3 linked regions of the Rattus norvegicus genome follow. The protein of the gene in region 3 interacts with the protein of the main gene of each other region in a pairwise test. Links are inferred from orthologs where the notes say so. Each region holds a gene or a part of one and is shown on either strand. Other genes may lie near its edges. The genes, in order: Clns1a, Dnaja1 and Lsm2.

What was found.
Region 1: the proteins of Lsm2 (region 3) and Clns1a interact in binary tests that used the Homo sapiens proteins (3 or more experiments, as listed by UniProt). The link is inferred for Rattus norvegicus from reciprocal best matches to the Homo sapiens genes LSM2 and CLNS1A.
Region 2: the proteins of Lsm2 (region 3) and Dnaja1 interact in a two-hybrid assay, tested with the Homo sapiens proteins (2 studies listed by BioGRID and IntAct). The link is inferred for Rattus norvegicus from reciprocal best matches to the Homo sapiens genes LSM2 and DNAJA1.

The regions. Positions count from the first base shown.
Region 1 is NC_086019.1:161,429,135-161,433,558, forward strand, and holds the start of Clns1a (methylosome subunit pICln), read left to right. Parts: upstream 1-1,534; 5' UTR 1,535-1,559; coding exon 1,560-1,699; intron 1,700-4,424. UniProt on the Homo sapiens protein: Involved in both the assembly of spliceosomal snRNPs and the methylation of Sm proteins.
Region 2 is NC_086023.1:60,637,112-60,641,274, reverse strand, and holds the start of Dnaja1 (dnaJ homolog subfamily A member 1), read right to left. Parts: upstream 2,872-4,163; 5' UTR 2,761-2,871; intron 2,480-2,760; exon of another isoform or gene 2,402-2,479; intron 1,708-2,401; 5' UTR 1,698-1,707; coding exon 1,566-1,697; intron 1,470-1,565; coding exon 1,292-1,469; intron 1-1,291.
Region 3 is NC_086038.1:3,848,860-3,853,300, forward strand, and holds the start of Lsm2 (U6 snRNA-associated Sm-like protein LSm2), read right to left. Parts: upstream 2,807-4,441; coding exon 2,804-2,806; intron 2,635-2,803; coding exon of another isoform or gene 2,524-2,634; intron 2,274-2,523; coding exon 2,206-2,273; intron 3-2,205; coding exon 1-2. UniProt on the Homo sapiens protein: Plays a role in pre-mRNA splicing as component of the U4/U6-U5 tri-snRNP complex that is involved in spliceosome assembly, and as component of the precatalytic spliceosome (spliceosome B complex).

The sequences.
Region 1 (4,424 bases), on a different chromosome or scaffold from region 3:
TCTCAAACTATGTCCAAATGATGAGTGAAGATTTTAACTTCAGAGAGTTCGAGAATCTTTCCTCATCCATACTCCACTCCCACCTTCTCATTCCTGTCAGTGGACCAATTTTCTAGTCTCACTAATGACAAACTGGCTAAATTTAAAAGCGTTAACACTTGGAACTGGAGACATTGGACCAGCCTCTGAGAATGCCTAATGCAGATGGTTTCACTGCACCCAGGCAGGGTAGCTTACACCTGCCTGTAACGAGTTCCAGCAGATCCAGTGCCCACTTCTGGAGTCATTGGGCAACTGCACTCAATATGTACACAGAGGTTTTTTTGTTGTTGTTTTGTTTTTTTAAATCGTAAGGAAAAAAAAATCTAAAGATACTTCTGTTGAGACGATTCCAAAAAGAAAAAAAAGGAGGGGTGGGGGAAGGAGGATGAAGAGAAAGAGAAGGAAGAGGAGGAAAGACAAAACTCCCATCACATTCTACATGTTATCCAACCTAAACAGCCCTGACCCCATAGACATTACAATTCTACAGCCAAAAAAGGTGGAGTCTAGAGATCAGCTGACTGAATTCCATCCACCAAGTCATTACCAAACTTTAGCTTGTGAATTTAATGGTCTCATCTGTAAAACTGGGTCAGTAATAAAAATGTGTTCATATTGTTTATCATCAGAATAAAACTGAATTGAGCAGGTGTAGTGATGGATGCCCGTAATAGTTCTAGTACCCTAGAGTAGGGTGCATATCGATTATGTATTGGAGGCCAGCATGGGCTACAGAAGGAAGCCCTGTATCTAAAACCACGAACGAATCCATGAAGAAATAAGAGGTAAGGTCCTTATGCTGTGTGTTCTATAAGCCTCGGTTATAGGTTTCTATTTACTAAATCTGTATGTTTTCACTGCACGTATTTTTTGGGGGCCTAGCAAGCTGGGAAGGCAAGGGTTCCAGACCTTTTCCCTGGGCACTGTCTTTTGACTGTCTGGCCGCGCTGCTGATCAATTAATGTAATCTTTTTGTCTTCCTGGCGTGACACGTGGGGATGGGGCACTCGACCTCTCCGGCGACATGGGAACTAAAAGGCCTGGTAAATGGCTGTGTGAACCCAAGAAGAACAGGCCCGACGAGGAGGAAGCAGGGTGCACCCAACCCGGAGATTTTTGACCTCCAGATGAGTGTGGATTTTATTTCTGTGCGTCCTGCTCAGGCAAGGGACTCCAGGGGCCTAGGCCCATTCCCACTTTTTATTGGGAAAGTCTTCGTATTCCTCATACAGCCTCTCTCAGGGTTTTCTGCGACGACCTTGAAGTAGAACCACAGAGAAAACACTCGGTTATTCTAAGCACCCTTACGGGAGCCTGAGAAGGGAACCAGTATCACGTGACAGAAGGCCGGCTCGCTACAGATCTCTGAGTTGCCTAGAACATCCCGTCTCTATGGTCAACTGCACGCGAAATTCCTCGATGAGAAAGTTGTTCTTCCGGAGTACGGCTACTGCTTCCGGGGCAGCTCCCTGCGAACCGGGATTGCGGTGCTCTGCTTTCTTGGTTCCTGTGGAGCAATGCTTTCGCCCGCAATGAGCTTCCTCAAAAGCTTCCCGCCCCCTGGGTCCGCAGATGGACTCCGGCTGCAGCAGCCAGACACCGAAGCTGTGCTGAACGGGAAGGGGCTCGGCACCGGCACGCTTTACATTGCGGAGAGGTAGGTTCCAGGACTCCGGCGCCGGCCTCCTTCGGGGGCGCCTTCCTCCCAGAGGCGCGACCACGGGGTACTACAGGGGGGCGTCGGCCGACGCTGCTGTTATGCGGGCCCGGTGGGATTACCCCCCTCCGGAGCTCAGCTGGCTCTGTTCTCATTAACGACTTGTGCCTGTCTCCTGCAAGCCTGGCGCGTGGTCGCGTTTAGTTTTGAGTCTGCAGAGCCTCGGCTAGTTTTTCGATGGGCCTGGCTTTCTGAATGATCGTGTGAACTAGATGTTTTCCCTGCGTGGAATATGTAGCTCAGAGGAGATTGTGACGGGTTTAGGACGTTTGATTAATGAGCTTGGATTTTCCGCTCCAGATGTGGGTGGGGGAAAAGAGCATCTTCAGGCCCTCGCAGGGCGGAGTCATAACCAGTCGAACCCGACTCCTGGATGTGCAGGTCTTGGAAGGAATTCTTGTATTTGACTACTTGCAGGACTTTGTACTTCCACAATAAGATAGACGAGTCACTAAAATACACACTATACACACGCTCATACCTTCGTGCCCACCCCCATATTTTCCTGTTCTTATTCTCTCTGTCTCCCTCTCTCTGTCTCCCCCCAACCCCACACTCACACCCCCACTCCCGCCTTACTATCTTTCTCATACTTTCTGTCCTTCAGATTCTCTGGTTTACCATCTGCTGTATTTCATTTGTTGGCCCCAGAGGCTACTTTTCTTTTAAGAGCTCAGTGTTATAAATAACATTAGGCCTGCCTAGAAAAATCCAAGCTAGCCTCCTTTATATCACAGTCAGTTGATTAGTAACCTTAAATACATTCAGAATCCCCTCTGTCATGGCACTGGGAAACAAATCTCTTAGGGACCAAGATTATGCCTACTCCAGAGTCCAGGGTATAAAAGTGTAAGAAGTTAATTGTTTAAAGAACTGTTTGGATGGTGGGGCAAAGCCTGGGTGTTTAGACACCGACTGGAAATACATATGTGGGTGGGCACTCAGTTTGTTTGTGTATATATATACACACACACACACACACACACACACACACACACATATATATATATATGTGTATATATATATATATATATATATATATATATATATATATATATATAAAAGGTTTGGAGCAGTCAGGAGGGAGAAAGAAAGGGGGTGGGTAGGAAGAAGTGGTGGAGATTCATTCATTCATTCTGTAAGTTCTGTTACTCTAGAGAACCCTGACTAATACACATGGGTGGAGAGATGGTTTAGCACTTAAGAGCACTAACTACTCTTCCAGAGGTACAGAGTTCAATTTCCAGCAACCACATGGTGTCTCACAGCCATCTGTAATGGGATCTGATGCCGTCTTCTAGTGTGTCTGAAGACAGTTATAGTGTACACACATTAAATAAATAATTAAATAATATTAAAAGACATCAAAAATACACATGGATAAATAAAATGGATCTTGTTTTTCAGAGTTAGGATTATTTCTGTGTTTCACACTCCACATGCAGAAGAAATTGTTGAGATCACCCAAGATCTTACTGTGTGTACCTTCCCTCTCCTAAGTCTTTTTCTCTTTACGCATGCATTTCTCTAAGGTCCTTTGCCTGGCCCTCTCTTCTGGACTATATAGCCTACTCCAGTGAGTATGTTAATACCTACTCTTTTGAATTTCAAATCTGTCTTTTGGACATTTGATCACACTGTGAACCCCAAGAGTGTATACTAGAAAAGTCCTTTTTTTCTAGTCGTGGTGTGGCTCAGCCTTTAGCACACCTCTTTATAGCCTCTGACTGGAAGACAGACACATCCTTAGTATACACCTTGAATCCTAAACAGTGAAGGTCAAGTTAGTTTGTAGAAGGAAGCACCATGATTGAAAGTGATGTCTAAATGAGTGGCAGACAGAGTGATGAATCAGAGAAAGACTTGACCAAATAGGATATGCCCAACTCTCAGGAGAAATGAGAGGAAAGGGAAGCTATTTAAGAGCTGTGCAGAAAAAGGAAGGAGACAGTTTTACTGGAATAGTTGTACAGAGACAGGTTAGAGAAAAAAAAGGGGGGGGGGGGCAGAGAATGAGTAGTCAGATCAGCTAGAGTTAGTTTGATGCCAAGCAGAACAATTCAGGAGAAACTGAGAGAAACCAGATTGAATCAGCCATCTTGGAGAGGAGTTTGCCCCAAAAGAGCCAAGTTAAACCAGTCAGAAAGAATGGGAAAGGGCGAGTTTTTTCAGCAGTAAGTCTAGCCTAGATTAGATTGTACGGAGGCTAGAGTCTTCCAAGACTAGGCCTAGGTTAGCAGCGGAGGAATTAAACTTCAGAGATGACACTTACTGTAGGAGAATAAAAGTTATTTTTATGCTGTTTGATACCAGTCTCCTAAGATACAGACACAGAAGCCCAACTACTCCATACATACACCAACCAAACTCACCCCTCAACATACCAAACTTGCTTCCCTTCACATTCATGTGTTTCTTGCATAAACACCTGGCTTTGTCCACCATCAGAGTTGCTCTATAGATGAAGAGGGTTTTGTTTTTTTAAGCACTTTTATACCCTGAACTCTGCAGTAGGCATATCTTTTGAGAATATGGATTTGTTAGGATGACTTACAGGTGAGGTCTAGTTAATCCAACAATGGCTGTCTGTGAATGGAAAGCCCAAGACTCCAGAAGCTGCTCAGTCCAAGGGTCTGATCTGATTCTCAGTAGATGCTGGAAGCCT
Region 2 (4,163 bases), on a different chromosome or scaffold from region 3:
TTCAGGCAGTAGTGAGCCAGCTATCTAATGTGGGTGCTAGGAAACAAAATCTGGATCTTCTGCAAGGAATGGCAAATGTTCTTAACCACTGAGCAATTTCTCAGGCCCATAGGTAAATTCTTATAAAAACACAGTAAACAGATTTTCAAGTCTTCTTAAACCTTTAAAAGGGCAAAGTGAAATTTAATGGGCTGCCGATTTGTTCTAACTGTGCCTACCCATTAGTTTGTATTAACTATATTGAGAACAAAGTGCCATTTTAACCTCCAATACTGTCTTCCCATAAAATACGTCTTTTGATCCAACAGTCAATGCATCTAAGCTGAGCTAATGAAGCTGAAGAGTAAACAGGCAGCAGGCTATCTGGAGGCAACGAGCTGTATCCAGTCTTTGCTTGAAAAGGTTTCGTTTTCTCCAACATATATTTTTTTTTTTTTTGGTTCTTTTTTTCGGAGCTGGGGACCGAACCCAGGGCCTTGCGCTTCCTAGGCAAGCGCTCTACCACTGAGCTAAATCCCCAACCCCTTCTCCAACATATTTTTAACAGAAAAAGGCCACTGCACTTACCACTGAGTTCTAAGAGCAGGTGATATTATCTAAGATACAAAAGGGCTTAGAAACCCTAAGTTTTTTTTTTTTTTAAAGATTTATTTATTTTGTATATGAGTACACTGTAGCTGTCTTCAGACACACCAGAAAGGGACATCAGATCCCATTACGGATGGTTGTGAGCCACCATGTGGTTGCTGGGATTTGAACTCAGGACCTCTGGAAGAGCAGTCGGTGCTCTTAACCACTGAGCCATCTCTCCAGCCCAGAAACCCTAAGTTGTTACTACAATTTGTTACCCTACTGTTTGAAAATATATGGAGTTGGTTATACCTGCTTTTTTGGCTTAGCTACTTTTTGGTTACATAAAATCTCAATTATAGGGGCTAGAGGGAAGGCTCAGTGGTTAACAGGACTGGCTGCTCTTCTAGAGGACCAGGGTTCAATTCTCAGCATCCACATGGCAGCTCACAACTGTCTATAACTCCAAGATCTGACACCCTCATCCAGACATACATGCAGGCAAAAACATCAGTGCACATAAAATAAAAATTATAAAAAACCAAACAAACCAAACAACCACAGCAACTCAATTATAAATGACACCAGAAGTCAGAGACAGTTCATGGACAGAATGTAACATCACGCTAAAGAGTAAAAAAACATTTAAATAAATTCTCAAGTCTTTCTTTCATCAGCAGTTACTTTGTTCTGCTGCAGGTAAGCTAGATTTTTTTCTTACCTCTCCTTTCTCTTTGCATCCTTCCTCCTCCTCCAAAGAACATATCAAAGATATCCATGGGCGAGCCAAAACCTCCACCTGCTCCGCCCTCCTTAATCGCCTGCTCGCCCCCTTTATCATATAGTTCCCTTTTCTTGGAATCAGCAAGAACTTCATAAGCTTGAGAAATCTGTTTAAACTGTTTCAGAAAAGGATATCCCATTAGAAACAACTGTTAGAAAGCACAGCTACCGTACAGACTTAATTCACATGGCAACACTGCTGAGCTGCTTACCTTTTCTCCTTCATTTGGATTTTTATCAGGGTGGTACTTCAAGGCCAATTTTCTATATGCCTTTTTCAATTCTTCCTGGGTGGCATTGGGTTTGACCCCCAGAACATCATAGTAAGTAGTTTCTTTCACCATTTTTTACAGCCTGAAATCAGAAAATGATAATTTTAAACTTGCTTTTACCTTTTGTACAAAACAAAACAAAACAAAAAAAAAACATCTGCTTCTGCCTCCTGAGAGATGACTGGCTCTTAACTTATAGTTTTTAACTACCAGAACTAAAGCAATCTGGTTTTTTGCCTTTATCTCATATTAATACAGCCTTCCCTAAACGTCTTAAAAGGTAAAAATTCCTGCTATGATTCAGCTGTAAATTCTAACAGACTAAATTTAAATTTCAGGGAAGGCGAAGGAAAGTCTGTCTAGCAGCTGGTTCCTGCTCTACTGCACTAACACATGAATTATTGGGTTTCTTCCGGTTTCCTTTCCCCCAGAGGTTTTGCTAGTAACCCAAAGCAGCACTGATAGGTTCCATCCACTGGTTAGTACATTACCACTGCCTTTGTACATCTGATAAAGGCCATACCCTCGCCGGAAAGGGACACTGGACACCCGGGGGTGGAGGAGTGGCTTATGAGACCAGCTCGAGAGAGCAGGTGCCCAGGCCCCTTCGCCATCCTGCTCCTGCTCGCTCGCAACTTACCCACTCTCGCCCCTCAGGCCTGCGGAGCTGACTCGCCCTCTGGGTTTCCCCGGCACCTGGCGCCGACCGTTAAGGTTTCCTTCCTTTCTCCCTCCCACCCTGATCGAAAAGGCGGAGGGGGAAGGCCGGACTCAACAAAGAAAGGGAGGAGAGCCAGGAGAAGCGCAAGCCGCAGCCTCCGCCCCGCTCCTCCCGCAGCCCCTCACCCCTGCCTCGGTCCGCGCGTGCGCAGCGCTGCCCACCCAGCCCGGGCGGCGGTGCGCACCGAAGAGTCTGAGGCGGGAGGCGAATTGGCTTCGGCCTTGGGCCGCCTCGTGGCGTGCGGGCGGGCAGGGCGCCGGGCATTCCCGGCAGCCTTCCGAAGACCGAGCCCGGCTCAGGGAACCCACAGTCCCCGCCCACGCGGGACCAACCGCCTCCGGCTGCGGCTTCCCCGGCTGTCTGGTGCCCAGGCCGCACGCCGCGACCGAGGGAGACCCAAGGACCTAGACTCACCGGTGAGCGGGCCGGCGCCGGAGAGCGGAAAGAGGAGCGTAGCACAGCGCAGCTCGGCCAGACGCTGCTCCTCTACCACCCACCGAGCGTTCTGGAAAGTTCCGCCCGGCCCGCCGCAGCCGACCTCTTTTGTAGCGGAGCCCGGGCGCGTCACTTGCCGGAAGTCCCGCCCCTCGCTTCTGCCACCGCCCCTCGGTTACCTGGGCAACGGCGCGGGGGCGGAGAGTGGCTGCGCCCAAGGGCCTTGTGGGGGTGGACTCAGGCCCGGGTTCCCGATCCTTGTAGAATCTTCTAGAGGCTTTTTCTTTATGCGAGGTACCAGAGGGCGGAAGTCTTGAGGTGGAGAGGTCATGTCCCAGAGCCGTAAGCCGGGGACGAGTGCTTCAGGCGCTGTGCAGAAGGGATCCTAACCTCACCGGAGTCTAATTTTCTGCAGCTCCTTAGCTCTGAGCCTTGCGGGCAAGAAATGCTGAGCAAGGCGGGCCTAGTCCCTAGACTAGCCTTGCAGGCTTTGGATCCGGTGGTTTCACCCAAGCGCACTCCTGTCACAGCTTTTTGGATGAGCCCAGGCTTCAGATCCTTCTGGCTCTGACTTGGGCGGACAGAACCTGGGACTGCACCAAACAGGAAACATTTAGAATGCTTCACGCACCTTTTTAGTCAGTCTGCCACCCAGTTTGGCTGCAGAGTAGCAGCAAAACACGAAATTAATTGCTTTAGTTTATTGTTTCAATTTTTTGACCGTTTTTATTTCCAGTTAGTGAATCAAAATCTATAGTTGGCAAAGTTGAATCTTAAGCTTTCAAGGGACAGTGAATGTTTTTCTTATTCAGTAACACAATAGACACATCAAAGAAGTGGAGGTGCAAGCTTAAAGAGTTCACATAGTTTAAAAAGATTTAATTCCAATCGTGTGTATCTGTGTGTATAGGTGCCCAAGGAAGCCAGAGACATAGAATCTATGAATTTGACTATTCCAGATAACTTAGTCACATTTTATTATTTAGTTTTCTTGTTTGACTTCTAAGGTTTTTTTAGTTACTGTTTGTATATGAGTGTTCTGTTTACATGTGTGTCTATGCACCCCATGCATACCTAGTTCCTGTGGTAACTGGAGGTACAGATAATTTTAAGTCACCACGTGGATGCTAGGAAGTGAACCTGGGGCCTCTGCAAGAGCAACCAGTGCTTTAAACGGATTAGTTATCTCTCTACACCCCTTAGCCTTGTTTTTGAGCCCAGACTGGCCTGGTACTCTCTTTGTAGCCAAAGCTGGCTTCAAACTCTGAACTCTTCAGCCTCTGAGCAGTTGTGAAGAGGAAGACCATGGGGCCTCCTGCTTAGACTTTTGTGGAATAAGATGTGTTAAATGTTTGTTATATTGTGTGTGTTTTAACTGTGGA
Region 3 (4,441 bases):
TGCTGTGGGAGCAAAGAGGAGAGAAGCATTCATTTATGCTGGAATCAGCAGAGGGAAAATCAGAACTACAGTGACAAGGGGGGAGGAACTCTAGGCCCTGAAGCCAGCAGGCAGCCCCTGTAAGTTCTGAGGTGGAAATGATAAAGCACCTCAGACTCAGTCTGTCCTCACACCAACACATCAGAAGCTCGTAGTCAGGCCGGGCCTATGCTCCATTTAATATTAGTATTTCCACTTTAAGACAGGTTCTCACTTGGCCCAGGCTGGCCTCCAACTTCTGGCATTCCTACCTCCACTTCTGAAGTTCTAGAACTACAGCTAGGAGCACTACTCATGGCCATTGCCCACTGGGTTTCCCTGTGGGGTTCTAGAACTAGCTCTGTAGATAAGGCAGGCTTCAAACTCCCCCCTGCCCCTGCCCTTGCCCCTGCCTCCTGAGGGCTAGGTTTAAAGGTTTAAGGGATGAACAGCCATCAACCACTCAGCTAATCACCTTTCAAAGTAGTATCATCCAGGACTTATGAGAGGTCATGTAAGGTACCAAAACTTACACAAATGAACTGGAATGTCAGCCCTGATCTGCACGACTCCCAGAAACATCCATTATTTTTAAATACTGATTTTTACTATTTGTGTGTATGTGCATGTAGTTACCCACAGAGACCAGAAGAGGGCATCAGATCCATTGAAGCCAGAGTTCTAAGGAGTTGTATTCAGCCCAACAAACTGTTGTCAATCACCTAATGTAGCTGCCGGGAACTGAACTCTATTTCTCTGGAAGAGCAGCAAGCTCTTTTTAAAGCACCAAGCCATCTCTGCAGCTCCAATAGCTGTTACTTGTAAACATTTATGCTTTGGAGCCAGAGACCTACATATACATGGCAGCTGAAATTAACTATTATTAATGCTACACTCCCCCACCCTCTAGTCCTGAGTACAGTTATCAAAGCCACTGCTCCCACACCATGTTACCCATCTTATATTTACCCACTGCACGGAGGTGCAGAGGAATTAAAATTTTAATTAACAACCCCAGATCCTGCATTTTACTTCTTCACTCTCTACATTCTACGAACCCCCACTGCTCTGTGGAAGAACACTTGTGTGGTCTGACTTTTAGACTAGAAAAAGTCTTAGCTACTCTCCACCCCGGCCTGGGCCAGCCTCTCACTTGCCCACACTGGCCATAACCATCCTGCTTGTCAACACCACGTTCTGTCTTAGAATCAAGGCTCTCAAGCACTGACCTGTGCTCAAAGGTTTCAAGAGTCTACAAATAAAAGGATTTTAAAAAGAAACACGAGGGCTGGAAATGAAGTTCACCTGTTGAGCATGCCCATCCAGTACATGAAAAAAAAAATAGACATCAGTGACACCTATAATTTTCTAAGCACTATTAAGAAAGTAGACTCTAGAATTAGGGATTTAGCTCAGTGGTAGAGCGCTTGCCTAGCAAGCGCAAGGCCCTGGGTTCAGTACCCAGCCCCGAACAAAAGAAAAGAAAAAAGAAAGAAAGAAAGAAAGAAAGAAAGAAAGAAAGAAAGAAAGAAAGTAAGTAGACTCTAGGGGCTGGAGAGATGGCTCAATGGTTAAGAGCACTGACTGCTCTTCCAGAGGTCCAGAGTTCAATCCCAGCAACCACATGGTGGCTCACAACCAACTATAATGAGATCTGATGCCCTCTTTTGGTGTTTCTGAAGTCAGCTACAATGTACTTATGTATAATAAACAAACAAACAAACAAAAAAAGAAAGTAGACTCTAATGGATGATGTGACAAGAAGCCATAAACATCTTTCCAGTGATACAGCATTTAATCCACTCCTGAATGGTTAAGAGCAAATGATACAGCAGGGCAAATCCTAGCACTCAGGAGACAGAGGCAGGCGGATCTGTGTGTTCCGGGACATCCAGGACTGCACATACATGTTACTTAACTGTATCTCACTGTGTAACTCTGGCTGGCCCTGGACATATGTAGACCAAACTGTCCTTGAATTCACAATTCTGCATCAGCGTTGGGATTACACGCATGTGCCACAGCACCAGGCTCACTCTTAAACTAATCTTTACACTCAAGACACAAGATATTTCTTCTGTGTTTTGCCCCTCTGCTCTAAAATAGCTTTGTGAACAACAACCACGAAAACGATCAGGACACCAGGCACCTCCCACCTTCCACCAACTCGCTGAAATAAAGACCTACCTCAGATCATTCTTGAGTTCCACGACTACATCCTTGCCCACAAGGGACTTGAAAAAGGAGTAGAAGAGCTATTGGAAAAGAGGGAGGAACTATCACATGAAAAGGGACAGGGAGGAGGAACCCGTGACGGCATTTGAAATACCAGTCCTTTTGGCCCCACCTAGTAGTTCTCAAAATTTCACCACCATCAACAATCCGTTAACAGAGACTGCAATTCCTGGGGCCACAGAGAGACAATAACTGCGCTGCACCCCTCGATGCCAGAACCCACTCTCCGAATCGACCACCTCCCTGCTCGAGACCGCTTCCCAACCGCACCCTCACAAAATCCTGATCTCCAGCACGGAAATGCAAGACTAGCTTTCCGTTCTCCCCCGGCGCCCGTGGGCTTTCTCTTGGACTTGCTGGAAGTTTCCCCAAAAAAACCATTGGTTCCAAGCAGTCTCCTCACACAGGGTGTGGGCCCTGAGGTTGTAAGGAAAACCCTAGGGCTTAGCTACAGCCCAAGGCAACAAACACTAGAGCGCAACCAAGACCCGAACAGTTCGAACCGCCCGCCGCGGGCGGCGGCGCTCCCTTTTGACGTCACGGTACCCACCATGGTGCTGGCGCCACGAGGGGCGGCCTGGACCGCGAAGGAAGGCGCCGGGGACTGCGGGCCGGAGGCAGGGCGGGAGCCGGAGCACGAGCCCGCGCGTGAGGCAGGACAGGATCACGCAGGCGCAAGGGGAACCGCGAAAACCGCGGCTGAATCTGGGCTCAAAGGGAGCGGAGTAGGGCAGAGCAGAGAGGACCGCCAAACCGGGAGGAGGGCGGGACTTCCTGTCTCCCACTTCCTCCCAAGGAACTCCTCCCTCCCGAGCGCGTGCGTGGGCCATAGCAGCTGCGCGTTGGATGTAGTTCGCCTCCCTGATAATTTTTTAGATTCTTCTCTGTGCCGGGTGACTTGCTCATACTCTACGCTTTCTACTGAGAATTATTGGGAAGATTGAGAAAATTATGACTTGCATATTCTTTTAAAAAAGATTGAGTTATTATATATAAGTACATTGTAGCTGTCTTCTGACACACCAGGAGAGGGCATCAGATCCCATTACAGATGGTTGTGAGCCACCGTGTGGTTTCTGGGATTTGAACACAGGACCTCTGGAAGAGCAGTCAGTGCTCTTAACCGCTGAGCCATCTCTCCAGCCGTATTATTTTTACTAGTAATTAAATGGGAAGTTGCTAGGTTATAGCTTCTGTAGATATCATGTCTGGATAAATAGGAAAACACTTGCTATTTTGTCTTCTCGAGGCTGGCTGTTGGTGCAAGGCAGTCATGGTACACAGGTGAGAATTCTGAGAGACTAGGCCTGCTGATTGCATGATACCAAAAAAGTCGGTTTCCTGGGGGTCTGGGTGAAGCTTGGAGCATGCCTGCCTGTGTAGGCCAGAGATGAATGCTGGCTGTTCTTTCCACTTACTTAATATTTTAAAATTTTATATGTGTGAGTTTTTCCTTGCACGTATATCTGTGTACCACATGTGCAGTGTTCCCAGACACTAAAAGAGTGTGTTGGATCCTCTGGAGTTATAGTTGTTAGCCACCATACGGGTGCTGGGAATCAAACCCTGGTCCTGCCGAAGAGCAACATATGTCCTTAACGACTTAGCCATCTCATTTTCTGAGACAGGATCTGCCACTGATCCTGGAATGGACAGGTTCATTCAGCTAGACTGACTTGCCAGCAAGACCCTAAGATGTGTCTTCCCTCTCTGTCCTACCTACCCCACTCCACCTGTGCACATCACTGTGTTCAGAGCTGGATCCATCATGATTACCAAGCAAGATGTTACCGAGTTTCAACAGAAACTTTAACACCTGAATCTAAAAGAGGCTGTCACTGGTTAGAAGCAGTCAGTACATTTAGCAGCTGCTTCCTATGGGCTCAGGGTGCCTGAGAATTAGAAAATATTTTTCCTGGCAGGTGTAACGTTCTGTAATTCCAGTCATGTAGGCAGCATGAACGAAAGACATTTGAGGCAGACCTGCCTCAAAACCAAAAAAAAAATTGTTGGATATGCTCAACTTACACAAATTCAAGTACTTTGCCCTTATCAAGTTAAACACTCACAATGGACTCACAAACAGAAAATGCACGTCCATGGGCTGGAGAGGTGGCTCAGCGTTTAAGAGAGCTGACTGCTCTTCCAGAGGTCTTGAGTTCAATTCCCGGCAACCACACGGTGGCTC